4 linked regions of the Drosophila melanogaster genome follow. The protein of the gene in region 2 interacts with the protein of the main gene of each other region in a pairwise test. Each region holds a gene or a part of one and is shown on either strand. Other genes may lie near its edges. The genes, in order: gudu, Sema2a, CG14089 and CG3014.

Region 1 (7,530 bases), on a different chromosome or scaffold from region 2:
TCCTTAAATAGTTTCACATAATATCAATCATCCATGTTGGGCTCACGCAATCCATCCGAGTGCATTTTCTTGCCCGCAATTTCCAACATGGCCCGATCTTCCAAATTGCCATCCAGCACAGAACGTTTCTATGGGTTAAAGATATGATTATTTATTTAATATAATATTGAGTTTAATTTGACATACGTGACCGTCGCCTTCTTCGTCTTCTTCTTTAACTGGTAAGTCTCCTACGGCCCAAACTTCCATGTTTCGTATTTTGAACTGTTTCCGTTTACTTGGGTACGATAAATAATTGGTAGATTAACCACAATTGTTTAAAATAATGTTGAATTAAAATATAGAATCTAGTGGTCTGTAAGGTGAAACATAATCAAGATTTTAATTTACACTCACCTCAACTGCACGTAGTCTCGATATGTAGTGCAACTTTCAACGCTTTGTCCATCGCCGAAACTGCAGTCAATCCAAAGGCCCCAAAAATCAAACTGACCGCCCATGCCCTGTATACGAAAAATATAAACATTTAGCAAAGCAATCAATCAATTAGCTATAAACATTACTCACCAGGCCATTCGGCATAGTCTGCTGATTCAAATTCAAATACTGATAGTGATTGTTATAAGTTGTGGCCGAAAAGCACCGCATGGCAGGGCTTAAGGTGTAGAGCAATGAGCTGTCATCGCCTCCAAATTGCGGTTTCACGGACCACGTTTCGGACGCGTAGCCGCCAAATATATATTGATCCTCGTCCTCAATAAAGAACAGCGTTGGTCCTTTGTCCAGCACTTTTCCCAACATCGTCGAGAAGCTTTCCCCGTTGATTTTCGATGAGAATAGAAAGCGCCATTTGTGCCGATGTTCGCGGGGCAGCTGAGCATTGATATACAGGACGTGAGGTAGTTCGATGATAGGGCGATAATGACTATTTTGCGGAGCATCTGGAAAATAGGAAAAAAGTTATAAACGATTTTAATAAATTTAAAAATTTTCTTTGTCCTACCACACAGTGCTGGCAGAATTGGAATTTCCATTTCCTTGATTATGTTGCGTTTGCTGCCACCATGGCGACAATACAGCTGGCTAAAGACCTCGCGCCAAATCTGCAAAAACTGCGGAGTGACGTGTAACCAACGTTCCAGGGCATCGTTGGGCATAGTGTGCTCTAGCTCCTTGCCCAGATTTCTCATAAGGCCCTTGGCAAATGTGGCGGCGGACCTTTCCGTGGTGTTAAAGCCAAGATCGTGCCACTCCTTGATGCCAGAGTTTTTCGCTGTACTTTCCAAGTGCACGTAGCTCTTGATCACCGAGTAGATATACTGGGGAATTATAAAATTGATTAATTCGCGAGCAAAAGATAAAAGAATTAAATAAACAAGTTGTTCATATGACAGCTAAGAAAATAAACGTGGAAATCTAGTTTTCAGGATAAACATAAATGGAGAGCTAAACCTAATTCAATAACAAACATGTTATGAATCCTAATGAGGCTCGGCTGACAGAAGTTATAAATATTATTTCCGCGATCTGATGACAATGACTACTTATTTATAGACTCACTTGCTCCAATTGCTTGCTGTTGAAGGTGTCATTTCCACTTCTCTCCATTGAGCCCAGGAGCATTTGCATTTTCTGGTCAATAGTACCGCGTTCCATGATGTAGTAGGGCTCTCCAAATTTCTTCAGCTGAAGGTTGACACATTGCTGACCTGGCTTCGTGGGCGTAAATAGATACTGAGCCGTACTTTCGGCCAGGGATCTTTCGATGGTTTGCGACCAAGTTTCCTATTTTCGAAACAAAACAACAGATACATGTATATGTGTGTACATAAACAAAATGCGCGCCGGATACGTAAACATAATTTTCCCGCTGCTGTCAGCAAATTCTTGCAGGGAACGAAGGTCTGGGAAGCGCTGACACAGATTAACCCATTGAAGGACGTACAATGAATAATAATTTGGTTTGACTGAAAACAAAGTCTCTCAAGTTTTATGAAAATAAATACTACTTCAATGTATGTAAAGTTTCAATTTAGAGAGTTTCCGCTTAAATTACTCTATATGAATGCAAGTCTTATAATTTCCTCATTCTAAAAATCAACTATTTCACATGCCATGCTGTAAACGGGTTAAGCATATGGTTTATTTTTAATTCAATTGGGTTTGGCCCTAATTGACGACCCCAGTCATTGAAATCACGACTAATTCGTTAGCAAGCAAATTCAACAAAGCAAAAGACAAACAGTGAAATGCGGCAGCAAACAAATTAGACAAATTATGGACACGTTCGCACTGGCCCAGGAATTATCAATTCGAAACTGATAACGCCCGAGTTGAAGATATCGAATTTTGCTATACCCTAGGAAGCGCTGTGATAATCAAACACGAGCTATAAATAGATGGAAATATTATAAGGAAAAATCATCATCTGGTTACAAACAAACATTTTTTGAGTGGTTGCATTTCCGTCATCTGTGCTGTGATAAAAATAAAACACAAATCTGGGGCCTTGAACCCGCATCGGAAAAATTATAGCATAAATTGTGTATGATCAGATTGATTTAACTAAATGGGTTAAAATAACAATTTTGGAAAGTTACGTGTACATTTAATCTAAATAGGACTGACTAGTTTAGAAAATTACATTTTTAAACAAGTTGAATAATTTACTTTTTATAAACTCTGTTAAATTTCCTGGTTTGCACTTTAAATCGAAAAAGAACTGTATTAAAATAAGGTTTAGAAACTTTGAACTTTTGTATAATGCCGGATAATGTTGCGACTCACTCTCTTATATAACTAAGCTTCTTTTTCGGAACATAGTACTATGATTAACTTCAATGTTTAATCCTCGAAATAGGAGTTAGTGACAACAACAAATTAATGCCCTAAAGGATATACCCATTCAAGTGAAGGGTGGCCATCGCAGCAGGTGGATGGACGGCCGTTTGTCATGCACTCGAAAGTCCCGATTTCTCTTTTTTTGCCGAAGAAAGTTCACTCCGCGCGTCCTTGAACTTGTGACCCTGACCCTTCCGCAAATGCAGAATGCAGTTGCCATTGATTTTCGCAGTGCACACGTGGCACGGTAACTGGATTTACTTGACTTACCACCAATCTGTCTTGGGTCAACTTCTCAAGTGCTCCGCCAGAGGCGTTTTTGTACGCGGATTCCAGCATGCGTAGCTCTTCCGAATTGTAGAGATTATCCGTCTCCCGCTTGCCACTCGCATTTCCCATCTCAGGACACGAAATTCAGTTGGCTGGTGCTACGACGGCTGGTAAACAAACAATGCAGCTGCAGCTGCGGATGATCGCGGATTTTAATTGAAAATAAAAAACAAACAACACAAGCTGGTGATGGAATGGCAGTCGATTTCCCTGCGATACCCTCGATAGTTTCGGAAACGGGTAAATTTCGCGGTGGTCGTCTGCACTATGAATGGTTATTGTCTGTGCTAAGTCAGGTCGATGTATTTGCTAAACGGTTAATTTTAACCGCTAAGCGAATTCAACGAAGGCCAAGCGAATAAAATAAATTTTAAATGCCTTGGATAGCTGTAGTTAAAAATTTATTAAAATAAAAAAAAACTTACAAGTTTGAGCTAAGATACCTTTGCCCTAGCCCGGTATTTTTGAAATTATCTCAGTTACCTTAGCAACACGCCTTATTAAATCAATTGCCTGGCCTAATAAAGTTCTCCCACACAAAAACACAATAAATTCCGATACAAAACTGAAGAAAGCTGGCATACCGACAGATATTTCCGGAATACGATTGGCCAAATCTGTGAGTAATCCAACGCGAAAGGATGATTGGCACTAGCAGCGGAACGTCCCACAATCGGAGTCGAAAGAAGAAAGAACAGTGCGGATCCTGTCCCAACAGATTCTCAAAGGATAAGCGCCAGGTGGCCGCCGAGGACTCGGATACCACGGAGGTGGAATCGTCTACGGATGAGGAGGAACGCTGGAAGGAAGTGGCGCGAGCCGCTGAGATTCCGGCTGACTATTATAATATCCAAAAACTGGTGAAATACATCAAGGCGGGCAATCAGACAGCCACTATAGTATCGTTGTGCTGCTTGAAGGACTACGATCTGAGCACCCAGATCAATCAGTTCGCCATCTCGGACATCGGCGGACTCGATGTCTTGGTTAACATCCTGGAGTGCAGCGACACCAAGTGCTGTTTGGGCGCCCTCAAAGTTCTCTCAGATATCACACTGAACATCGATATTAGGAAGACCATCGTAGATCTGGATGGCATTCCCCTCATTGTGGACATCCTAAACTCTTCCATGAAGGACCTAAAAACCATGGCCGCCGAGACATTGGCCAATGTGTGCAAGGTGCGACTGGCCAGAAAGTATGTGCGCACCTGCGGAGGAATCCCCAAGCTGGTGGATCTCATCGACATCAAGTTGAGGTGAGTTGGCATTGGATAAAGTGCTTCATACTACATCACCACATATAAGAAATAATTAAAAAAAAACCTAATTATATTATAGCATTCTAAAGACGCCTCGTGACCAATTGAGTCCAGATGATCTGGAATCTCTCGATATGACACGCGCTGGAGCCCGGGCTCTTTTCACTCTGGCCGATTCCAAGCACAACATGGAGCAGATGCGCAAGAGCGGAATTGTTCCTTTGATGGCTCAGCTCCTTAAGTCCTGTCACATCGATGTCGTCATTCCCATAATGGGCACCGTTCGAAAGTGCTCCTCGGAGCCGAAGTTCCAACTGGCCATCACCACCGAGGGCATGATTCCCGACATTGTGAGCCATCTGAGTTCCGAAAATACCGAGCTGAAGATGGAGGGCAGTACAGCGATCTACAAGTGCGCCTTCGACGGAACCACCAGGGATTTGGTGAGGGAGGCTGGGGGCTTGGAACCTTTGGTAACTATCATAAAGGACAAGAATGTGAGGGAAAATAAGCCTTTATTGAGAGGCGCCACTGGAGCGATTTGGATGTGTGCCGTAACCGATGCAAATGTCAAAGTGCTGGATCAACTCAGGACGGTGAACCACCTGGTGGCCTTGCTAAATGATGAGTGTGACGAGGTCCTGACCAACGTGACCGGAGCTATATCTGAATGTGTGAGATTTCAAAGCAATAGGGAGCAACTGCGTCAGGCTGGAGGATTACCAGCAATGGTTTCCCTACTCAACAGTTCTCACGCCCCTCTTCTGGAAAATTTAGCCAAGGGATTGAAGGAGTGTGCCGAAGATCCGGACAGCATGAGAATCCTTGAGGATCTGGATGCGGTCAGGCTGATATGGTCGCTATTGAAGAACCCCACAACTAGGGTTCAGGCCCATGCGGCTTACGCCATATGTCCCTGTGTTCGAAATGCCAACGATTCCGCTGAATTGGTCAGGAGCTTGGTTGGCGCCATGGAACTGGTGGTGGGTCTGCTAAAGTCCAAGGATATCATGGTCTTATCCGCCGTTTGTGCTGCCATTGCAACAATTGCCCAGGATCAAACCAATCTAGCCATCTTAACCGATCTGAAAGTCATCTACAAGCTAGCCGATCTCGTCCAGACCACCGACGACCTCCTTCGAATGAACTTGGCAGCTGCCGTGGCCGCCTGTGCCTGCTTCGGTAATAATACGGAGGAACTGGGACGTCTGCGTACTGTCACTCCGATTGTCACCTACATGACCAGCGACAATCCCTTGGTGCACCGCAGCACGGCCATGGCACTGGAGAAGCTATCGATGGATCCGCAGAACTGCATTACCATGCACCAGGTACATTTCTTCTACCTAATCACACTTAGCAACTCATTTAGATTCTTTTATTTTACTTCAGAGTGGAGTTGTTCCTTTCCTGCTGGAGTGCATTGGATCCACTAACAAGGAGCTCCAGTTGGCCGCCGCTGGTTGTCTGCGCAATATCCGCGAATTGGCCTTGCGTGCCGAGGAATATCTGCTTAAAATCGACGATGACTAGCTTCCTGTTTTTTTTTCTTTGTTAAGTTATTTAATTGTATTTGACGAAATATATGTGTGTATGCCGATGCTACCAATTTCTTGCATTTTTAGCAAATAAATTAATAAGTTAGTAAATTTTTAAACCAGAAATCCCAGAAAAATATGTTTCATTTTCCATGACAATAACATCTAGCTATATAATTATATATTTGTCGCTACATATTTTGACTAACTAAGCTCGACCCACCCTGCATAAAATTCCACTCTAGTAACTGGCATTACTGCCCCTGGTGGAAATGCTCATCCGTCGCTCCACGCGATTCGTGTGTGGCAGCAGGCATCCCGGCGGTGGATACCGCCATCTACGTGGTCGGGACAACAGGGTGCCGTCCGTCGAAGCTCTACTACGGAAGGGAGCATCGATGTCGCTGCGTGAGCTGCTCAAACTGCTACTCGTAATCTCATCCGTAGACTCCGTATGGTCACCGTTGCTCTCCTCCAAACAGGCGCTTCCGATGACCAGAAAGGAATGTCGACCGACGCCCAAAGACGAGGCATCGTAGAAGGAACAGGATCCCGAATCGGGCGTGAGGATTCCATCCGTATTGGCCACATCGCTGGTGGAGCGCTTGAGCTTGGGGAATTTGCTGAAGACTCGCCAGAAGCGAAACACATCGCGAAAAACATTCTGCACCTGGTTGGAATGAGTGAATAAACAAATCGTATATTTATAAGGTGCCATGTGATGGTAAATGGAAGATTAATTTATCAGACAAAAGTTTAATTTCACTTCACCTTAATAAAGAAATCTTTTGTAAGAAAATTTTTCCTCTTACTTGATCCACGCTCTCTCTGACGGAAATCTCGTGAAAACAGGAGCAGGATAACTCCCTGAATCGGCGCTGACCCTCTTCCAAGCTGACCATTCGATCGCCCGGCTGATCTGTCTTATTGCCCACCAGTATGACAGGAATATCCAGTGCGTATTCCTGGAAATATGGTATATAAATAAGCTTCCTATAGGTGGTTCAAAATTAAGTAATTTACTAACTTTACTGGCCGAGCCCAACTTGCGTCTTCGTTTATTGTAATTGATGAGGAACTTTAGGCGACTGCACTCGTCGAAGGAACACTTGTCCGTAATGGAGTACATTAGTATAAATGCGTCGGCCCAGCGGATGTTGGACTCCAGACTAACTCCATCTAGTTCCTACATGAAATGGTCTTTAATGTCTTGCAAAATGAAAAATGCAATTTAAAACCCACTTGTAGCTGACCGGTGGCGTCCAGAATGTCAAACTGAATCTGCTCCTTGTCCAGCGTGGTTTGGCAGGTGTAAATCTTCTCCAGATTAGGATCATACTCGCCAATGAAGCGTCGGGTAATAAAACGCACCACCATGGCTAAATGGGAAAGTCCCTTCAGTTTGGGTTCCCTTTTCTGGGAGTTGGGCGCACAACTCACCCGTTTTTCCCACACCACTTTGGCCCAGGACCATAACCTTCAGAGTCTTTTGTTTATTGGTATGCAGACCCAACTTGACCAGCGATGACTTTGGCGAGGTGGCATTCATGGCAGATAACA
Region 2 (7,657 bases):
ACTTGCAACTGGAGGTGTCGGGAACGGCACTGCACTGCACAGCACTGCACTGTATTGCATTGAAATTCAATTTCGCGGCAAAGTTTCCATTGTGAGCAGCTCCACGTTGCTCCGTGCTGACATGCTTTGGGTGGTTCCCCAGTGCTTGACTAGAATCCCGGCTCAAAGCCAGGTAAATCCCCACCCAACAACCCAACAACCCAACAGCCAGCCATCCGCCCGGCTCAACAGGAAAGGGGTGGTCTCCATTCGACCCGCTATGTGAACAGCTTTTGACATTGCCGTCATGATGAAGTGGAACGCACAGCTGAAGCCCCACCCCAGCTACTGGCTCTAAAAATACAAAAAAAAAAATAAACCCAGAAGAAGGAAATATAAAAGCCGGGGGCAAGAACTCGGCTATCCCTTTATCGCTTTTGTCGTTTTAATGGGTCAGCAGTGTGTGCCTATACAGTTTGACAAAGACCACGAGCGAGTGCGAAGCTCTTAAAGCTGTTGCATTTGGCCAGAAATCAGACAACGCGGAAGCCATTAATCCCAAGCTTCATCCACCATTTGTGGCAATAAAAACTATATACCAAGAGAGTTGAAAATAAATAAGAAATGACTGCTATAATTCTAAACTGTCTCACTTGGCCATGTTGCGTTGCTCAGTTTTATTTGCTGCACTTTTTGCTAGATGAAGTTTAGAGCAAATGAGTTCATTACTCCTCTGGCTTTGCAAATTTGATATGTATGTGTTTTAAGCTTATAGAAAACCATTTAACGTATTGGTATGCTTAAGAGTTTCCAGTATCTACAAGCTTGTAAGCACTATATTAGTTAGTTAGTTGGATGTAAATGCATTAAATACCATTAAGTGCTATGGATTGTGTGAATCTATTAGTTAGTTTCTATTTTTCCTTCCTTTTTTTATGACTACAGAAACAATTCAACCTTTGGCTACCTGCCGGTCAAAAAATGAGTCAATAATCAGGGGTTTGGCCTTAATAATGAAGTCGCAGCACCTTGTGCGTGTATCTTTGTATCTTTTGTGAGAGAAAACAAAGGGGAAGAGCTATCCGGCAGATAAAAATAGAATTTTAGGGTACAGAGTGGTGGAAACATCTGTCAAACCGCTGAGTCAACCAATTGAAGTGGCCGAGGTGGCGACAGAGGACGTTGCGGCCGCATTGGTACTCACAAATGCCATAGAGAGGCATAAATTTTGTACTACCCTAAAATAAAGTGCAATTAATTTCATTTAAATCAATGAAAATAGTGCTTTTTCATTTACAGACGGGTAAAAGAAGAAGAAGATAAAAAAAAACATGCAATAAATATTCCGCATCAACGGGGGAATTTATAGTTGACATTTTAGAGTTTTGTTGTTATTCAGTTCGGTGGCTTTTGTGGTTTAGTTGGTTTTACCTTAATTTATGGCCCGCCGATCGGTTTATATAGTGCATCTGGTGCAAATGTCCAACCTTCGAACTTTGTAGCTCCTTCTGCATGCATTTCGGACTTATCCCATATAGATTTTGCTATATAACTCCCGGAAAAGTATGCGCAAGCAGCTTGAACGATTCCCTAATCGTCTCACGTTTTCCTTTAGGGCAAGTGCTTAGCTATTGAGTTTACAGCGCAACATGCGGCAAGGACCAAAAAGTTGTTGTCGGCACGTGAAGTTTTATGCTGCACTTATGGCTTATAGTTAAAGATATAGTGGAGACAAGGGGGACGGCATGCCAGGCATTCCGGAACGTGGACTATTAGAAAATGTTTACTGGTCTTGACCCGGATTGCTGTTGTTGTTGTTGTTGTTTGGCCAGCCTGGCTAAATGAGATTTAAATTTTTTATACAACATTTTCTGCGTTCTTGATACTTGATGGCTTTTTGCTGTTCTCTAGCCACATTCAATGTATGCTGGGGAACTTTTCAATCAACCGCACGATGATAAATGAATGCTGGCCAAAATTATTGGCAAAATCCAACATGGCTTAGACATAGAGAAGTGAATAACCTGTTTGTGGCCGCTCGTAGATGAATTTTAAATACTTTTAGGCTTTAATGACTCAATAAAGCTGGCCAAGTCTACGAAACAGAGGGCTTGTAAAAAAATACAGCGGAAAATCTAGGTAGATTGAACATTTAAATGGTAAAGCATTCACATTTTTCTAGAGTGGTAGGGGAGGGGGGGATTAAGGGAACCCAGTCAATTATATATCATTCAGGATTTATCTCTGTGGATTATAGGACTGCATATGGTTAAAATATGATTACATTATTGGTATTTGTTTAAACATGAAATATGCATATGAATAGCAACAATTCACAATTGCGCGGACCAGCAATATTCACTATGAATGCACCGCATTAATATGCAAATTATAAAAAACAACAACAATCACAATGCTCCGAGCCAGAAATGGAAAATGGCCCAAACCGAAACGAAAAAATATAGTTGCAATTGAAATCGAACCAAACGAGATAAATAATAAAGGCACAAAGAACATGTGCGAATATTATGGCAAATAAATTACAAATTTGTTGTTGCCTGAAAGATTGAAAAATAATATTGGCCGCAGTTAAAAAAGGGGAAAAAGCTGTCTTATTCGTGTAAGCCGACGATTTAAGTACCCTGTACAAAATATAAGTAATGCGAAACAATTTTAATTCATTTTTTTCATACATACTTAAGTTATGATCAAGTTGTAAAATAGCGTTTTAAATAATGTTTTCATTCTTAAGTTTTAAGTGTAACGAACATTAACATACATTTCACATAGTTTTTACGAAGAAATGTGAACTAGTAAAAGATTTTGTTAACATTTTTTTTAATTTTTAAAGCCCCTCGAAAAAAGGGCACAAAAAGTGAAAATTTATTTTACAAGTGTGTTTTAATCCGTGTTCCCGCCCCTTTTTATACCGTTAGTTGGCTAGTTACCTGCGCCGTGTTTCCCGTAATTGTTGTTCCCCTGATCGTTTCCAGTGCAACAGGGACGCTCGTAGTAGAAGTTCCAGGTGTTCTCGTAGTCCGCAGCTGTCTCGCTCACACTACTGCAGAGGAGTAGCAGGAGTGCGAGGAGCGGCGATAGCTGTAGAAGCGACATTGCGAGGGCGGTGCGAGCGAGAGGGGTGGTCGACCGGGGGCCGAATGCGACCCCACCAACCTCAATTGGATTAAAGTGCAAGAGCGAGCGAGAGGCGGTTGCTTGTTGATTTTACCGTTTGATGAATAAAAACCGGCACGTTTTTTCCCACGAATAACTGTTAACACATTTAACTTGTATTATTTTTACACACTTTTGCGGCAATTGCAATGGAATTGATTTCACTGGCAAATGGATTTTAAAATAAACTTCTTTCCTTGGGCGATTTATAGCACCCCTCTGCTATTTTTTTCTCCTTATATATATATGTTTTTTTTTTGGACCCGCAGTCGTAGTGCCAATTTCGTTTCGGATTAATTATGTATGCGTTGCAGGCGCATAAAGGCGTAATGCATTTTACACAGTTCTGTGTTCAATTCGGTTTTCAATTCGATTTCAACGCATTTAGCCATCGGAAAGCATGTGCGATATGAAGATAAAGGCAAAAGGAAACGTTAAACTGGTTTATTATATGCCCACGCATCGGAAAAACAAAAAAAAAAGCAACAATATTGGGAAACAATGAAAATTCCTCAACGCTGGAGAGTGGGAAAGAGACAAGGAAGGTGAACGAGCGCGTTTCTTAAAGTTTATACTATTTACAAGGCACTGCATCAATAAATAAATGATGAATCTGCAAATATTTCCTTGCTTTCAGTTTAAAATTTGCCTTTAACCCACACGCACACAAACTTGCTCACGCACTCACACACACACACATACGCAACAACAAAGCCAGAGATACACACTTGAGTTGTTGTTGGGAGTTTCGGTTTATTGGAATTTCGAAAATCGAACTCCGAATTGAATGAACTGCAAAACGCCAATTAGATAGTTGCAAGCCTAATGCATTTCAGATATTTTACCGATGCGAAACAAGTTCCGCCACGAAAGGGAACACTGGTAAAATGCCCAAGAATCTCGAGCGGAAACACCAAACACAAAAGAACAACCGACAACAAGTAGAAGTGAGAAAACAACAACAACGCACGATCGCTCCGATCGCGCAGATGTGAGAAAAACGCTAGCGCGTTTAAGTCGAATGACTATCGCAGTCACGCGTTTGGGTTTTTGGTATATACCAACAATGGTGATCGTGTTTGAAAATAATATTTAAAATATATATAATTTGCATAACTTTTTCTCTTTATATCAGAAGTTTTAGATTTTATTTTGGCTAACTTTGAAATATGCTTTCTTATTTTTGTCTGTTTACAATGCGCTTGCTTTTTAAGTTAGTTAATATATAATATAATATTTTCTTTGACGTATTCAAGCCGATTTTAACTATTTCTTAAATTATTCTTAAGAAAAGGTAAAAACTGTTGACACAAAACTTTGTTTAATATTCGTGGAGCGTCGTGGATTTTCATTTGTCGATATAATCCTTGCTCCTTGCCACAAAATGCCGTTGCAGAATGGCGGTATTCAATTTTCGTACTTCACCGTGCGGAAGCGGCAAAGTGATTTTTAGCAAGGACAACAAGGACAACGACAATTTTGGCAATAGGCAAACATTTGCCAACCCAGACACACACAAAACGGGCGGCAGGATGGATGGATGGATGGCAGGTATGCAGACGAATCCTTGCATTTAGCAGCCTCGAGCGGCAATTAAACGCAGTTTGCTAGTGTCTCTGGCATTTGAGTGTCTGCTTGGCAAAATATTTAATTAAAAAGCAAGTCGGTTATGTTTTCGCATCTCCTTGATATTTTCTATTGTACGGGTGCCACCTGTGCGTGCTTTCGTTTCCATCAGTGGCGTAGGGGCTGTAGTTTATTCAATTATTCAGCTGAGATGTTAATGATGATTGTTTGAGGCACTGATCAGCTCAGGTGGTACGTGACCATCAAAGAAAAAAAAGGTAAGAAACTTATAATATAGTGCAAACGTTTCCAACTAAAATTTAATAATTTTGATCGCAATCATTGGCTAACCCCCACAAGAAATCCTTGCGCACGCCACTGGTTGATTGTGTCTGCCTGGCCTTTTCTCTCTGTTTGCCTGCTAATGAGTTTTCGCAGAATCACCACACTAGTCGTCCCCCTCGCACCCGACCGTGCGACCAAAGGAGCACTTGCATCATGATACTGTTGAAAATTTTTGACACATGTTCACTCACTCTATCCCTCTATTTCATTGCCTCTCCCTCTCTCACACTCACTCTCGTTCTAGCCCGCATTGTTGTTGCCGCTTTGTAGTTGCTTTGATGTTGGTTGCCATTTTTGGGTTTTTTTCCCTTTTTCGGGGGATAGCCTTTCAAGTGCAGCAGCGACAACGTCGCCATTGTCATTTGTTTTCGCAAACGTTTCTTTCACACAATGTCAACTTTCAACAAAGGACTTTAATTAAGTCCTTAATGACAGCTTAATTTAGCGCACTTTGCACAGCGCGTATGCCCCAACACGTACACAAACAAAGGCACAACGCACTCACACGTAGCACATACTCGCACACGTATGTATGTGTGGGAAAAAGATGGGATGTGTTTTGTTTAGTTCTTTCGCTTTCTTCATCTCGGAATCCTTTAGTTGCGGTCAATTAAATAATAATTTCAAATCTAAAAAGTACACGTCATTCCATAAGAAGTCATGCAACAATTTAAGGGACGAAAAGAGAAATTCAAGTAAAATGAAATAGTTGCCAATCAACCACCCTTCATATAAACATAAAAACTAGCATTCGTTTTGCTTATTATTTTGTGATGCAATTTATTACTTAATAAATTGGGAGAGAGCCTAAATAGCATTTTGATTGTGCCAAATAATACATGGAACTTGTCTCGCCAAACATTGTTGGTCGCTCAACTTGTCAGCGGCCGGCAACTTTCATGCATTATATAAAAAGTTGGCCAAATAACCAGCAGCGAACCACACCAACACACTGACAGACACACACACGCACACACATACACAGCTTGAGAAAGCGATAAAAACCATTTGTTGTGAATGTCCTGTTTTGTTATTTGTTGTTCTGCTGCTTGTCCTTTGTTGTGTTGTTGTCGTCCCAAGTTGGCTTACTCAAGATACTTACAAAGATTTCAATGCACTTTCTTCCTACCAACTTGTTCGCGCAGAAAGCCAAAAAGCCAAAAGAAAAATAAAAACTGGACTGACCAACAAGAGCAGCAACAACAACTGCAGTGAAATAAGCCTATAGAAGATTTGGCTCAACTGAAATTATAAAACATTTAAAACGCAAGGATATAGCTTTATTTTCGGCTAAAAATTATATTTTTCCGTGCTTGGGACTTCTGTACTTGGTTTTATAAATCTAATGAATATGCTCATATGTCCTAAAAAATAGAACCAATTCACAGATATATTTACAGCTAAGAACTTTATTTTGTTTTTAGCATTGAGATACTCCTTTTATTAACTTTCCAAGTTGTTGCATCTATCAAGGTGCTCTTGTCAAAAAAGCAAACAGATTCCTGTTACCGTGTGTTGACTGTACAAAGGCAGCGGCATCGGCGACGAACAAGAACAAGAACGATTTGACTTCTGGAAACTGTCAGAGCAAGCAAATGGCACTAAATATTAAGTTTGCCGTTGGAACTTGACCAGAAAAAGTAAACTACGAGGAAAACTTGGCCGGCCAGAACTAATGAAAGCTTTCTGCAAGTGTGAGGCGTGATGGTGTGCGTGTGTGTGTGTATGTGTGTGGGCTAAAAGTTTTTGCCTTTTGGCTCGACCACAGAATTTCTCATGAGTTGGCGCTGCGGCTGCGGCTGCACTTGTTTCAAGTTCAATTAATTTTAAGTGCGGCAGCAATTGTGTTGCACATTGTTGTGCCTCCACTCGTTTGTTTACAACGACTCTGCACTCGGTGTGTTTTTTGTGCCTTTGGGCCAAGCTCTGCAGTTTTTTTTTGCCTTTTTACGCCATTCGGATTCAACTTTGGCCTGACATGCAATGTCAGCGCCTGTGTTTATGCTATAAATAATGCAGCATATTTTGCATAATGACAAGTTATCGCACACAAAACATAATTGCATGTATTTGTATTGCAGACATTATGACGTCACCTTAACGATGGCGGACAAGCTTTTCCTTTTACCCCTCTTGAGCTCAAATGTATCTACAAGTCGCAGACTTTGTATCTTTGAGATGCTTGAGACCTACGGTAAGTCAGAACTTGGAAGTAGCGATAAGGCGTATCAAACATTTATAATTCATAATATATATATTGAAGTAATATATATTGAAATAATACATATATGTTGAAACAATGTTTTCAAAAAATTCTGCTGCAGCATAGATGGTTCTTAAACAAGCACTATAATGCGACCACGATTAGATTGACTGAACTTAAGCGTAGATCCCACAGATCAGATCACCTACCTTCGAAGTGGGTGACGCAGAAGTCAGCCGGAATTTTCCGGGATTAGTGTCACATCAAACAGACAGATTGCGGCAAAATGCAGCAACAAAAGTTGCAGAACAAGTGCAGAAAGAGCCAGATAAACAAATCTTGTCTAGCCGTAGAGGGCGTGAGTATGGGGCATATGGGCGGTACCAGTGG
Region 3 (6,024 bases), on a different chromosome or scaffold from region 2:
TCCATAACCACATCTAACCATATCTTATACACTCAAAGTGGATTTGGCTAAGACAAAATGTGAAGCGGAACCATAATGTGGTTAGAATATGAATGCCCTGCGGAGGGCTGTTCGACAAAAATATAGAAACCTTTTAAGTTATAAAATTTAAGTTCGTCATGAATATTGAAGTTTCTTCCAAGCTATTTATTATTAATTATCATTATGTTATTTCGTAATGTGTAGGACATTGCCTTCTTAAAATACTCTATTGCAAATGATGTAAGCTTCAGTAAAATTGCGATAAACTTCTTGAGCTCACCTCGTTTCCATTCATTGGTTTTGTATTACATTTTATGGCCAAAGCATGGTAAACAAAAAAGGCCCAGCTCAATAAATATGCTTATAAATATATTTGCCTAGACACACTCACATTATTTTATAGGCTCGTTCAAGGATAACACTCCTCGTTTCAACCCGCCAAAAAGGACCCCCCGCACCGAACCTTTCTTTAGCCATTTTTCATTTCAGTTATCTGCGGCGTTGGCGTTGATGTCTACATGCATGGCTATCGGGCCGGTCTTTATATAGTGTAAGTCACGGATCTAAATATCCCCCATAACTATACTAATTTCTGGTTAGTTTTTCAGCCGTGCTGGTAATGTTTATCGAGATCAAGTGGCTTGTGACTATCTTCCTGCAACTTCAGTGCGCAGAGTAAGAAAACTATTCAAGATTACCAAATAACATGTTCATAAATTATAGTTATTCGTATATATATTATTTGATAATTAGCAGTTATTATTTATGAAATATAGAAATTCTAGTTACCAAGCCTAGTAGTTGTAAAACTAATTAAACCCTAATTATACTATAATATGATATACTTTACTATTATATACAATACTCTATATCAAGTGCCTTTGCTCAGATTTTTCTCTGCAAATTTTTCTCTGTTCACATATTTGTGAATTCAATTTGTTTCAGGGATAATTACCAGCGAAGGTCCTGCAGCTGCTTGGCCTGCTGGCGACTTTCAGCGATTTGTGGCGGTTGGCGACCCACTCCTGTTTATGCGGTCATCGGCATCTGCCTGATCCTGTATCCCCACAATCTGTGGCTGAGTTATGTGGCCGGGATGTTCCTGATACTCCTCGGACTCCTCAGACTGTGCACGCTGCTCCGATTCAGCGCCTCGAAGGAGGAGGGTCTCCTGCCGCAGTGCGACTTTGAAAAGTGATGCCAGCCAACGAATGTCTTTGTTATTTGTTTCTAATGTCTGTTTGTTCTGCGATGATAGGGTGTCGAGCTTTGTGGATACCATGGAGGATGATTTCGCGGAGATTGGTGCCACGCAAGCGGGATTGGATGAGGAAGCGGAGGAGGAGGGCGACGACCACACCGCCCTAGACGACGATGTTTGCTAATAGTTTAAGCCAGCTTTTCTGCCTAATGTAATGTGAGATTTTAAACGACTTAACAAATGTCTAATAATATACAGTTTGTAAAGAGGTTTCGATTTAAACGCTGAGTGCGTGGTATATTTTTATAGGTAATCGATAAACCCACACTTTGTATGATTTTTGGTGTCATTTATAAACGAAGCCACTCAAAAGTCAAAAAGGACATTCTTCAAAAGAATTTTGAAAGTTCCTTTTAAGTATTGGGTATCTGCTTTTTACCTACAGAAATAATTATCAAAGCTATTTCGTTTTAAATAATGTTATTTTAATTTCGTCTTTTATTGTTTTTTGTGCTAAACGGATTTCTGCGTTCACTAAAGGCCAAAATGAAGGGCTGGTCGTCGAATTCTTCGGTTTTTCTCAGACCAAAAGAACGCTCATTGCCGTAATCATACTCGTCCTCATCATAGTAGTTATAGTAGTGCCTCTGGTGGCCTTTAGGGCCTCCATGTCCATGTGATGGAGGAGGAGGAGGTGGAGGATACGGATACGGTGGATATGAACCTCCGGGATATCCAGGAGGACCCTGAGGACCAGGTTGGCCAGGGATTCCAGGCATCCCGGGGTGGCCCTTATCTCCACGCGGCCCCTTCTCGCCGGGATCACCCTTGGATCCTTTGGGGCCGGGATAGCCCTTCTGCCCCGGCTGTCCCGGTGGACCAGGTGGACCTGGAGGACCGGGCGGACAACCGCATGGCTGTGGCTGAGGATACGGATACGAATAGCTTGGCGGATAGTGTGGCGGATGATAATGTTGATGATCGTGATCCTCCTCTATGATCACTTCCTGTGGCGGGGCTGGAGCGGGACTTCCAGTTTGGAGGGTGATCAGCCGGGGCACTGAGGCATCATCCTTGGCGAAAACTCCCCCAAGAACAGACAGTAGTGCCACCAGCAGAATAGTCCAGTTCGCAGAGAGAACTTCCAGATTCGACGACATGCTGTGAACTAACGAAAATCAGATCGCAGTCACTTCTTTTATGTGGATAAATGCGTTTGAAAAATGGCAACAGAGGAGAATCATTCAAACTCCCGTTAAGATAGCTCATTTGAGATCTATATGTCTTGTCTTACGATCGCATTATATTTGTATCGTATGCTAATTTCTCTTGTTTAATAAACCAAGCCATTTATTTATAAAGTATCTGATTTGCATAATATTCAATGAATGAGTTGAGTTTTTGGGCTGATGAAAGAACTTTCACACCAAATGGATGTCGGACTTTGTGATCGAGCCATGAAAAGTGAATTCTCGTATTCTAGGATAGATCAATTAACAGGTATATGTATATCATTTCTGCGCGTAAAAATAACATAAACTTTTACACAAATTTCATATGGAACCAGAGCAATGACTGGTGGTGACCGAGATGATGATTTTTACATTTAAACGGAAACATTAACCATTTTGAATAACTAATGTGTAATTTGCTAACACCTGAGATACCACCTGTCCGTCCCTGTGAAGCACAAAAGAAAACACTTTCGAGACATGCTAAGAATGTCTGTTCGCAATTTTATTTAACTGTGGCTTCTTTATTATTCTTTTGTAAGTGTAAAGTGGAACTCATGATGACAAGAGCCCCGCCCACATAAACCTCAACAAATTTCTGGTTTTTGGGCAGATCTCATAACACTTTTTGCATACTCACGCTTCAGTCTAAGTCATTTGGATTTGTGGACATTAGTTATGTTCGAGAAGTTTCTGTTTTTGTTAACATATGTATGTAAATAGTTGTAACTTTTAAAGTTCGTTTTATTTGTTGTTTTGCTTTTGTTTTACACATGTTTGCTATGCAATAAACATATTAAATAGTTTCTTTAATTATAAATTTACTTTGTTTAACTATTATTCTCTCTTATTCGTGTTTTCGGTCGGAAAACGTTGAGGTAGCTGCGTTTGCAATTAATTGTTATAAGTAGCTATTCGCTTGTTTATATCCCTGATATAGGCTATTTAAGGTTCTGTTGTGGATAAGAAGAGCTCAAATTGTATTCATTATTATTCAGACAATACATAGATAATTGAAAGAATCAACCGAAAAGGAATAACTAAAGTTTATGTTTATTTTATTTTGTATATATATTTATATAATATTACGATAGATATATTACGCATCAACATATACATAGAAAATATTCAAATCGTTTAAATTAAAATTAAAGCATATAAAAAATCAAACATTAGAAGAATATCAACAATTAAGAGAAACAAAAGTTAAGGCTTGTCTGCTGTGTCTGATGGCTAAAAGGGGTTTTTCCGATCGGGCTACAAATATCATCGGATTGGAGAATATCCTTTTTGACTGCGAATAGTCAAAAGGTAGCAAAAGTAAACTCGAGTTGACTAGATAGTGGATGGTGGTTAGTTATAGTTAACTTTTGACATGGTCTCTGTGCTCGAACGGATCTGCTTTTACCGAACAAAAAGTATTAAAATGGTGCTAAGCTCATATTCAGAACTGTGATTAATGGCAATTAATCTTTTCACAAAACTGATTCATTTAAATCATCATGATACATTATCTGGCAGATACACAATCTTAATAGCCCGATCCAACTGGCAATCGCTTTCGCATGACAAACAAACCTAGGAACAAACCAAATAAAAATTGGGAAAAGTAACTAAAAACAGAAGAAGACATTGAAGAAACTGATCTGAGTTTTAGTTTGTTATCACTTGCTCTTCTTATAACATACGACTAACAACTATCTTTGGGATTCATTCGAACCTTGCTGGCTTTTGTTCTAGTTCGCACTACTCTGGTTTGATTCTTTAGTTTTTTTGTGGCGCTCTTACAGCTCCTCTTGCCCTTCACTAACCCTTCAATCTTTTCCATTCATTCTATAAAAATATATAAACAATGTTTGCCGTCCTTGGAAGGCTAGGGTGGTTCGATTTATCGACGTGCAGGGACTGAAATATTCTTGTGGGAGTTATGTAATTTCTTGACATTTCGTACAATAGTTCTTGTTGTTAATAACAGCTCTTAAGTTCCAAAATATCAAAACTTAATCTGCCTTTGACTGAAAATTTCATTCCAAATTAGTTCCAGTTGTGTTGATACGTTACGTTAAGAATTGCCAAAAAAATACTTAGTTCCTTGTGGATTTTCTAACAAAAAATCCAATCACCCCAATGAAGAGTTAGCCCCACGAAGGTTGGTATTCTGATCTGTGATCTCTGACTGGGCGGTCATATGGGACTGCTTGGATTTGATTTCTTACTGGGACATAGACACCACGTCAAGGCCCGGAAACTTTCCCAGATCTTGGTGTCGTGTCGTTGGATTGGGCATGGGAGAGGGTGTTGGATTCTAGACGGGATGCTAGTGCCTTTAGTGCGGGCCCATCGCCACCGGTTAGTAGAAGGAGCTGCACCAGGCATCGCCCGCCGTGGGGCTTAGCAATCCGACCAGACTGGCACTATGGCCGGTGGATACGGCGCCAGTCGCCACAGACGGAGGCGATGCCGTGGAGCCGCCGGCGGTATGTGTCGAGCTGGGCAAACACTGGAAGCAGTAGTTGGCCCCGTAGTTGTTGTCCCAGAACTGTTGGCCTTTGCACTGGAACCTTACGGCGAACTCCAGCCTCTGGCCCACGTGCAGCGAGTTACCGAACAGCACGAAGGTGAAGATGTCGGAGAAGCCATCGCAAGAGTTCTCCACGTAGTTTGCCTGCAGGTCGGCGTAGCTTCTCCATCCGTCCAGCGAGTACCTTATGTGCACCGACTTGTGAAAGTCCAGATTGCGCACACGCACAGATCCGGATATCGTCTGGTTGATGTTGTCCGTCACGGCAGCGTTCTCCAGGGACACCTGCTTCTCCCGGACCGCATCGAGGAACTTGGGCAGGCCTCCTGGCTGCTGGAACAGAGGCATCAATAGCTTGTCGGACTTGGGCCCCAGCTGAAGTGGCGGCTCCGACTCCAGTATTTCCAGGTCCTCGAACGCCGATTTCGGTATGGTGGGTATCTCGTCCAGGAAGGTCTTTACATCGGCCAGATCCAAGCCAAGGACGTCGGCAAACCTAACGATCTTCTTGCGACCCGGAGTTCCGGGTGGTGTCTTTCCCGTTTTCAGGGAGGAACAACGCCTGATGCGCTGTGGTCTACAATCGTCTTCATCATCTGTGGTATCGACTGTGGTACCCCGACTGGGGGCACCACTCTTTTCCACAGCCTCAGTGGCATCCTGTTTGGCCTGTTCGATTTGGGCCAGGTCCACATCTACGGTGAGATTACTGGCCGACTTGTCTGTTTCATCCACACCACTGTCTGGCGAGAGTTCATCATTCCTGCTTTCCTCTGGTGATCTTTCCAACGTGGTTACCTCGGTGGAAATTGATTCTGTGGCGGATTTGTGGTTGGATTCCACTTGAACTGTATCGTTGGAAATTTCCTCTTGAACCCTTTCATCGGACGCGTCCGTCTGGACTCTGTCGCTAGGAGATTCTCCTTGGACTCCTTCGAATGGAGTTCCTTCTGGAACCCTTTCCTGGGAGCTTTCTTTTTGAACTCTGTCATTAGGTGATTGCTCTTGGCTTCTATCAGCAAAGGCTTCCACTTCTTGTGGAGCGGCGA
Region 4 (8,715 bases), on a different chromosome or scaffold from region 2:
CGGAGCAGTGCCATCAATGGGTTCTTGCATTAGGAGTTTGCCAGGACAGGGCGGCGTCACATTTCCAATGATGACCGGCATCCGGGCCGCAATTAAGCGCTTTTCCTGCTGAGTTGTGACCAGCACCTCCACCTCGTAGTTGAGCTGCAGGCAGGCACATCCTGCCACAGTCAATGTGGCCGCTGTTTGTGGCACTTGCAGCATGTGAAGATGCTGAAAATTCTGCAGTTCTCCACGGGGGAGGTTGTGGAGCTCGTGGCGGCTGCTTAGGACAGTTTGTCGCTCCACCTTGGTCTCCAAGCGTTTGGGCTTATTCTTTAGATGGGCAACGTAAGTGCTGATCTGAACGAGGGAATACACCGCCTCGCGAAGTGTCAATTTCTCCGGGTTATGCAGCTTTAAGTGAACAGAAATACCTGCTCCTGGCGAATAACCCTGCCTGGGAATCTGGAGCTGCAGATGAAGTGGCTTCATCCAGAATCTAAGGCGAGGAGTCTGCTCATAGATCTGGATCTCACAGCTCCGCGTCTCCTGGCTCAGAGAGTTCTGCGGGAAAATCTGCAGCTGGCGTACATGGAGCACCTCCAGCGGACGATCTGCACTGCTGTGGATGAGCACTTGGAGTGTGTACCGTATGTGTCCGTGGCCCCCCTCGAAATTCCCCGGACAGTTCTTGGGCAGCTTCACATGGAAACCGTAATTGTAGGTGCCCGCCTCCATTATCTGTGGCTGTGCGGCCTCCGAGCCCACAAAATAATCGATTTTGGCAAAATAATCCACGCGATAATCAAAGTCCAAACTCTGAACCACCACTGGCTGCTCGTTCTTTTTTTGATTCTTGTGCTTTTGGGGCTGCTGCCAGGCAGTGCTCGCATATCCATTGGCCTCCAGGCATATTGCTGAAATAAAGAGCATAAGCCAAAAGAATTAACGATTTATGAAGATTATTATAATTTATAAGTATACCACATTAATTTGCACAAATATTTTTCAAGTTCCGATTATGAAAAGTTACTAATCAAATTTGCCTGGTAGTTGATAAGCTCACTGAAAGGTATTAGCAATTTGATTTCAGTGCGACAAACACTATCAGCAATTTGGAAGTCCATAAAAGAAACCAGATCTCGATCGGTGAATCAGCGCCACTGGATGGCCATGTTATACGGGATAGCCCATGAGTCATGCTCCAACCTACCTTTGATTAGGGCCCGCTCCGAAAGGGTCAGATAGACGTGACCATTGACCGTATCGCCGGCCCTATAGACCCCCCGTGGGTTGTCCAATTGGATCTCACAGCGGTGGCTCATTTTCAGCTCTCTGGACTCTGTTGACGGCTCGACTGCTAACCGATGTCTGGCAGTTGTTGACAACATGCCCGCCCATTAAGAACAGGACTGGACGCGGCCTTATCGGATATACTAGGTGTGAATGGTACCACTACCATGGCTATTATCACCAGAGCTATATCTTATCTTATGCCGGGTGAGGAGTGCTATCGCGTACCAAACAATTTGTAATTTAATTAAAATACGTTACATCCGATGGCAGGTGTAGCCTACATATGTGCGAAAACTTCGTTTATATGACGGATTCAAGGACTCGCAAGACCAGTGATGAGTACAATTTCTCTGTAAATAGCCAAGAAAAAGTTATCGACCTTTCATTTTAATACATTCATCAATTTTGCTACGTAATAATTTTGGTTCACATTCAAACGTTTTAAGCCACTAACTCAATAAGCAAATATTTCGCTAAACTTTCAAGAATTCGTTTAAATATCTTTCCATCCCCACGCAACACAAAATACAATTCACAAACTGATTGTTTGTATACTGCAATTATTTATTGTCCACTTGAGAACGCATTAATTGGTACTTACAATAATTAGTATATGTATCGAGTCGATTACATATTTAAATCGAAAATGTTTGACGGATGTATAAAAGCGGTTATAGGTATACTAGAAAAAGGAGATTATGGCACTCAATAAGTTCGATTCGATCAATTTTGGATGGTACGCGAGTGTACAAATTTGCGCAATGAAAGCTCACTAAAACTAGACGACGTACTAGGACCCGGCCTAAAAATCCTTTATAAGCCTTAGTCTTGAACACTTATGTTACTTGTTACTGGGGTTGGCAATACGTATATAAGACACTTTTCCATTAGAACAGGTGCTCGTCCTGTAGGACGTTCTCGACCTCCGAAACCGTTGCCCGTTGAATCGGCCGATGCACCTGGGCAGTCACATCCAGGTTCTCTTCTGCCTCCTGCTCCTGCTCCTCGACATGTTCGGACAGTGGACCACAGAGGGATCCGAAAGTGTCCAGACTCCGACCTGTGTGATCCGTGTTAAGCGATCCGTACGACCTGTACATGTGCATGTCCAGGCCAGAGTCCTCCATTCCGTGAGCAGGAGCTGTCCCAATGAGTGTGGAAAATCCAGGAAACTTGGGCAAGTGGATCCGCTGCAGGACCACTGCGGCGTTACTCCCTAATGTTTGCTGACTTCCTGCCAGGGTAGCAAAACTGAAGGAGGGCGGAACTGCGAATGGAAGTGTTGATAAGCTATTTAAGTTTTATAACAATGTTAGGGACTTGAAGGATTTTCCTTGCCATTGTTGCATTAAATGAACTACCTTATATTTTACCTTACTATACTGTACTATTACTATTACCTTACTATAATAGTGAAATTAACCAAGCGATTAACCAATTAAATTTTGTAAATTTGTATTCAAAATTCAGCTAACATTACATGCATGAAAAACAAATATGTATACTCCTTAGATGATTTTATGGAGTTTTAAAAAAATAAATATGCAACATGTGATTTGATTTGGCAGTTTTTTCCGTCTAACATTTTTTAAAACTTCAGGAACTGTAAGTGATATAATTTTACTATACAATTTGTGTCGATATCACAACAAAATGTTGAACTGTAACGGGAATGTGATAGTCGAGAAAAACGAATAGAACTGCATCTCTCAAAAAGAAATAATTTAATCGATGGGTATTACTATTTCTATACAATGAGAAAATTAAAATCAATGAATTTAAAGTCTATCCTAAGCAACTGTTACAGAAACTTACAATTGAAGTTTAAAGCAACATATAACCAAATCCTAGGTGAAATGAAATGTGTCGTGCTATAAATAATATTTTATAACATGTTAGATTTTTTTTTAAACTACTCTAATGAATACGATCATTTGCTTAAATTGCAAGTTAGAACAAACAAAACTTACGGCAACTGTCGTAAGATGGTGGCTCGTCGTCTTCGATCACCCTGTGCGGCTCATCGGTAGCCGGATCTGCCTCTCCGGCGGAATCCTCCTCCACTGTTGGCGGTCGGGGAGTTACCCGCTCGATCAGGCGCTGTCTCTCTGGCGTGGGCGTCCTCCGCACAGGCTGCTGGGTGTGAACCGAGTCCCTGAGGTGTTGCAAAGAGGTGGTGCCCACGATGATGGGCACTGAGAGGTCCGTGTCGTAGTGGAAGTAACCCGTCTTCAGCTTTACCTGCAGCGTGTAGTGCAGAAAGACGATGTAGTTGGGGTTCAGGGTGGATCGGGGAGTGTCCATGGGCACACAGATGCTGGACTCGTACTGCCGCTTGGACAGGCGCAGGGTGCGGTCCGAGATCAGCTCCTTGACCAGTGTCTTGGAGTAGAAGTTCCGCTTCACGGGCTTTCGCGACAGGAAGACGAAGTGCTGCTTGATGGACACCTCCACGCCGATGATGTCGTAGTGTGGCGACTGGTTGTCCACCTCCAGCCTGTAGGGTACCTCCTGAAGGGGCGTGAATCCGGAGGCGGGCAAGGTCAAGGTGGAGCAGATGGGTCCCGAAATGCAGGGCCAATGGCAGAGATACTTCAGATTCTCGTCCTTGACAGGTAGCTAGTTTGGGGTAAGTATTATTAAATGATTGGACTGTGATTTAAGCATATCTTAAATTCTTTATATAGTTTTCCTTTAAAGCATGACATTGTATGCCAAAATTGATTGCAAATTAATAATTTATTCATTAAAGCACGACTTAAAAAGCAAAACTCATTGCCTACAATTACACCACAGTAGAATTACTTACTGAAAACTCTGCATTGTAGTTGAGATCCAGGGTCTGCACCACGATGATGGGCTTCCGGAACACCTCGTCGAAGCCCCAGGGCTTGTCGATGGTCAGCGAGATAGTGTAGGCTATATAGCCGTACGGACCCTTGCAGGTACTGGGACAGTCCGGCGGAATCCTGAGGGTGAGGACGTATACGTGGACTCCGGCCCGGAAGAGGGTGTTATCGAACACATTGGTGCGTGAGTGTAAATATTGCTGATGGCCCGAGTAGTTGGCCGTCTCGCTCTTGCCGCTCATCGACCACTGAACCTTGGCCTCGCCCTCCAGAGTCACATATACGGCTGGGGATTTGGGAAATTGTAGTCTTCCCAGGGGGATAGGAACTTAGGAGTACTTTGAACCCACCATTGACTCGCTTCACCTTGTCCGTACGCAGCAAAATGCGACCACTGATGTACTCCCCACTGTTGTAAACCGGATTCAGGCGATCCAGCTGAAAGACACAGGTGGTGGGCATGGCTGCTGCACTTGCTTCCGGCTCGAGTTAACCGAATCTTCACTGCCAGTTCATCACTACTATATCCGTGGCTGGGCTTCTGGAGACGGAGCACCGAACAACCGCAACCCAACTTCCACACAGCCAGACGCGCACTGAGTTCTGAACGGCGAGTTCTTTGTCAGCATCCGACGCCATCGGGCTTTCGCTTTCCGGGGAGCGGAGTTTCGGGGGCGGGCGAATCAATAAGCTGGCGCCTTGCGTCTGTGTAGCCGTCTACTGTCTGCTTCTGGTCTAATATTGCAGCGCGAATCGTTCGGAAATGGAGCAGCTTTTGGCCGTGGGTCCTTTCGGTTTCCTTTGTTTCGCTGCGGCCAACACACACGCACATACACACACACACACACTCACTCACTCGCTCACTCGCTCGCTTATGTGGCGGCTGAAATGGTGGACGAACGCCAAGGGGGCGGATGCTGGCGAGGTCAGGAGCCAATATCCACCATATACTGGGGTACATTTTTGTTATTACCATATATCAACCGCCGATACAACGGCCGAAAGAATGTCAACAAAACCGAACAGTGCGTCACAACAAGCAATTTGTTTTCGGGGTGTTGGCTGTGTAACCCCTTGGCCACTTTGCTGCCGCATAACGTGGCACAATTAGGACCTCGAAATTATTTGGGCACTCACTCCATTAATCTGGCATGCATAATTGCGATAATGAGAGCGAGCCATTTGCCTGGGGAAAAGGGACTGCATAAAATGGCAAATTCACATAGAAATATATTTGCATATTTAAAAATATATTTTTAGCTAGTACTATACGTAACCCAAGTTTATTGGGAAGAATAAAAATAAGAATTTCGTTTTGTGTACGTTGATAGTCGGTAATAGTCGATAATCGAATCCAGTTATTTGCTTGGCTTACTTTCCTTTATCGCATTTCAAGTTCAATTATTGTGAATTCTACAATTCTCAATATCTTGGCACTGAAATTCCAGACTCTGCACGTGTGTCAGGTTAGTACTTTCTTATAAAAGTATTGCAAAGCTAAATGCACGTACGACTTTTTTCTCTTCGGGCCTTTTAGCAACTTGATGCGTTCACGTTCACAATGTTTGCTCAGCGCCAAGGCGTCGATTTCCCGAGAACAGCTGTTGGCCAGAAACTGATTAATTGGCCCCAGCAGCTCACTCTGGCTAAGAGCTAAAGAAGACAATAGTTAATTACTGGTTGCCCCTTTTAATGGGCAGCGTATGGACTTACCCATATTAACGAAGCAAAGTTGCGACGATTCCGTTTGGGAATTCACGGGGGGTGCAACAGTGGCCACGAAAATGGGTACTTTGATTGGGGCATTCAAGGAGTTGAATGTCTCAATGTAATAACTGATTTGTATAGGGTCCAGCTGATCTGAGTGACTCATAATAGGGGCTGTCAGAGGCAGGCGAAGATTGCCATTAAGTTCCGAACTCTCGGACAACACTTGTGTCACATTCTTGGTTTTGGCACTTGGTTGCTGACTAGTGTAGCTGATTTTTTTACACAAGCGCGTAAGGAAGTCCTGGACTCCATCTTTGGAACAGATTTCATAGCTTACACTTTGACCCGGAACAAAAACACTTCGCGGCAATGTAAGTCCCATGTTCGCAGTCTCCATATATTGGGGCTTGAGATCGGCGAGTTCCACACACTTTCGTATCACCAATCGCTGCTGAAAGCATTTGTTATGTGTTCCCCGTCTTTCGAGAACAACCTTGAGCACATACTCCACATTGCCGAAAGGAAGTCTACAGGTGGCTGGCAGATTTTCAGGCAGCTGAAAATTGAAGTCACCCAATCGAAAGGTACCATTCTCTAGCTGAAGTACTTCGTTTAACTTTTTCGTTTCATTTATGTGCACCTTGCTGCCGTTGTAATCCACTTTGGGGCACTCCAGGTTTCCGGTGCTATCATTGTGTTCGATTTCCGGCGGACCTCGAAGTGACTCCCGCCAGTGGACCGTCGAGACTCCGTGGAGAGTGACACTTACGCCTGCCGAATGGGGAACAACAACACGATCAGCATATCAGATTGCCCATCTATTTGCAGCACTCTCCCCTATCTAATCACTAAACCAACTCATTTGCCTAATGGCATCTTACCCTCTAATTTGAAACTTTTTTTCCCGTCGACTGTCACAGTGAGTGATCCCGAAATTTGCTCGCCGTTGTAATAAATGGCAGCGGCACGCGATAAGTTAAATTCGCAATTTATTGGCATTTTCAGTGGTTTGGAGTGGCTTTTTTATATATGTGTGCTTTTCTGAAAATTCGCATTCACGCGACTGAGACTCTAGTTGTGACCTCGCCAACGAACGGCAAACAAGTGACTGTGACAACTTGAGGTTTCATCCGAAGCCGTTGGAAGTCTGAAAAACTGTTTCCACACGAGTCGTCTGAATGAGAAATGGCTGCTGTTTTACTGCTAATTTGGCCCGAAGTCTGTTTTGGCCGCAGCGATAACAATATATAAATTTAGCTTTATGGTCCAGCTAAGCCGACTCAGATTTTTTGCTGATTATACCGTGTACAGGATGTAAATGTGTCTACAGCTTTTGTGGTATACGTAATATATTTTGCTTGTTTTGCTTTATTGAATCGGATTAAATCGAATTGAAGACAGTTAAGACTTAGAAATAGACTTATATGATTTTTGGTTAGACTGGCGCTTAAATAAGAGGAAGTACAAAGTATATAGTGAGACAACACAATCTAATTTGTATAGAAACTAGAGCAAGAGACACTTGTATATATATAATTAGTTCGACAATATCTCATTTAGACACCTAAAGATTATGATGATGTGATGATTTTAAATAATAAAAAACTAAACACAATTTGGCTAATCTTTGCTTGTAAATTTCTCATAGATACACAGAAAAAGTCAATACAATATTCAATATTGGAAAATGTTAGTTTCGCGCTTAATTTCCCCTCTCCGTTTGGTAAAATTGTGCAGATTTTGTTAAAATTACGAGCTAAATGATTTCATCTAACTTCTCACTACATTGTTCACATACATTTAGCCAGCGACCACTGTATCAAGTATCAATCTGCTTACAATTAGCAATACTTAAAAAATAATTGTATAAGGTTAGTTAAAAAGGGGAAAACGAGAATGAGAAGAGAGAAAATTTAAATGTAAATATAGGGACTATAGAAGAAAGGGAGGATAAAATAGTTAAATAAATCAAATTCATTTTGGCCTAAATAGCTTTCTTCTCCAAAATATATCCCATTCTGCTTTGGCTCTATAAAAAATGGCTCGATTTGCCACCTTCAATTTAAATTGCGCCCAGACTTAAGTTCTACTACATGTTAGCACACTGGGTTTCATTTTCCATTCTATAGTATTTTGATTTCGATTAAATATGTAAGTGTTATCGCTTATTGGCTTATTGGTTTACATTTGATGCAGCTCTTTCCGTATCGCTTAGTCCAAAGACATCTCATTTCTTTTCGCAAGAAGGGGGCTCTCCTCCTCTTGTGTTCGGGGCCAAATCCTCATCCGTTTCCGGTGCCGCCGAGTCCTGGCAGCTGAGTGTAAGACGCAGCCGGGAACTGGACTCATCGTAGAGCGTCTCTACGGTTTTCGGGTTTCGAAGGAAAGGGGATCGTGAATGGACGGTACAAAATGTAGCATGTTTCGGGGCGGTAACAAGAGAATAAATTTACAAGTTAAGCACATTTTGAAATTATTTCTGCTCGGATTAACAGAGAAATGCATATTAGGAAAGTAGAAAAAGTTAAGATAAGCTTTAAAAATCTATAAAACGTTCTTAATTGGTATTCGATAAATGTTTTTGACTTAAACATTAAAAGACGCCATAATAAAGAAGAAGAAAACGGCTCGATATAATTTAATATTAATAATGATTTTGGTTCAGGCGCATACATGTTCATCGTTTTAGATACAATAAAAAACAAATATATGTTTTTATGGAAGGTAATGTATAAAATATATATATTAAGAATCAAAAACAATTTTTATTAATTTAAGTTGGTAAAAATATCTTGTATACTTATATATATAAAAGGGTAATGGAATAAAACGTGCAATTATTTTAGATACACAATTTTATATAATAGGAATAAAGTGT

What was found.
Region 1: the proteins of Sema2a (region 2) and gudu interact in a two-hybrid assay, tested with the Drosophila melanogaster proteins (one large-scale study listed by BioGRID).
Region 3: the proteins of Sema2a (region 2) and CG14089 interact in a two-hybrid assay, tested with the Drosophila melanogaster proteins (one large-scale study listed by BioGRID).
Region 4: the proteins of Sema2a (region 2) and CG3014 interact in a two-hybrid assay, tested with the Drosophila melanogaster proteins (one large-scale study listed by BioGRID).

The regions. Positions count from the first base shown.
Region 1 is NT_033779.5:7,384,864-7,392,393, forward strand, and holds gudu (gudu), read left to right. Parts: upstream 1-3,644; 5' UTR 3,645-3,812; coding exon 3,813-4,429; intron 4,430-4,511; coding exon 4,512-5,763; intron 5,764-5,824; coding exon 5,825-5,965; 3' UTR 5,966-6,039; downstream 6,040-7,530. Other genes in the region: CG5149 (uncharacterized protein), read right to left, coding at 24-128, 187-277, 397-503, 568-941, 1,004-1,319, 1,561-1,785, 3,112-3,240; CG5160 (uncharacterized protein), read right to left, coding at 6,212-6,640, 6,783-6,935, 6,998-7,156, 7,213-7,349, 7,411-7,519. UniProt on the Drosophila melanogaster protein: Important for spermatogenesis where it may have a role in sperm individualization.
Region 2 is NT_033778.4:16,512,612-16,520,268, reverse strand, and holds the start of Sema2a (semaphorin 2a), read right to left. Parts: upstream 4,120-7,657; 5' UTR 3,999-4,119; intron 3,816-3,998; exon of another isoform or gene 3,736-3,815; intron 3,350-3,735; exon of another isoform or gene 3,251-3,349; 5' UTR 3,094-3,250; coding exon 2,928-3,093; intron 1-2,927. UniProt on the Drosophila melanogaster protein: Ligand for transmembrane receptor PlexB. Plays a role in growth cone guidance. Required for both proper adult behavior and survival. Can function as a selective target-derived signal that inhibits the formation of specific synaptic terminal arbors.
Region 3 is NT_037436.4:19,278,419-19,284,442, forward strand, and holds CG14089 (uncharacterized protein), read right to left. Parts: upstream 2,383-6,024; coding exon 1,708-2,382; 3' UTR 1,702-1,707; downstream 1-1,701. Other genes in the region: CG14086 (uncharacterized protein), read left to right, coding at 511-571, 622-696, 967-1,215, 1,280-1,406; Gbs-76A (glycogen binding subunit 76A), read right to left, coding at 4,805-6,024.
Region 4 is NT_033777.3:7,797,441-7,806,155, forward strand, and holds CG3014 (uncharacterized protein), read right to left. Parts: upstream 5,354-8,715; 5' UTR 4,590-5,353; coding exon 4,478-4,589; intron 4,414-4,477; coding exon 4,088-4,413; intron 3,898-4,087; coding exon 3,249-3,897; intron 2,546-3,248; coding exon 2,166-2,545; 3' UTR 1,824-2,165; downstream 1-1,823. Other genes in the region: CG18744 (uncharacterized protein), read right to left, coding at 1-899, 1,196-1,307; CG18268 (uncharacterized protein), read right to left, coding at 5,590-5,780, 5,841-6,608, 6,719-6,836; CG2993 (uncharacterized protein), read right to left, coding at 8,065-8,198.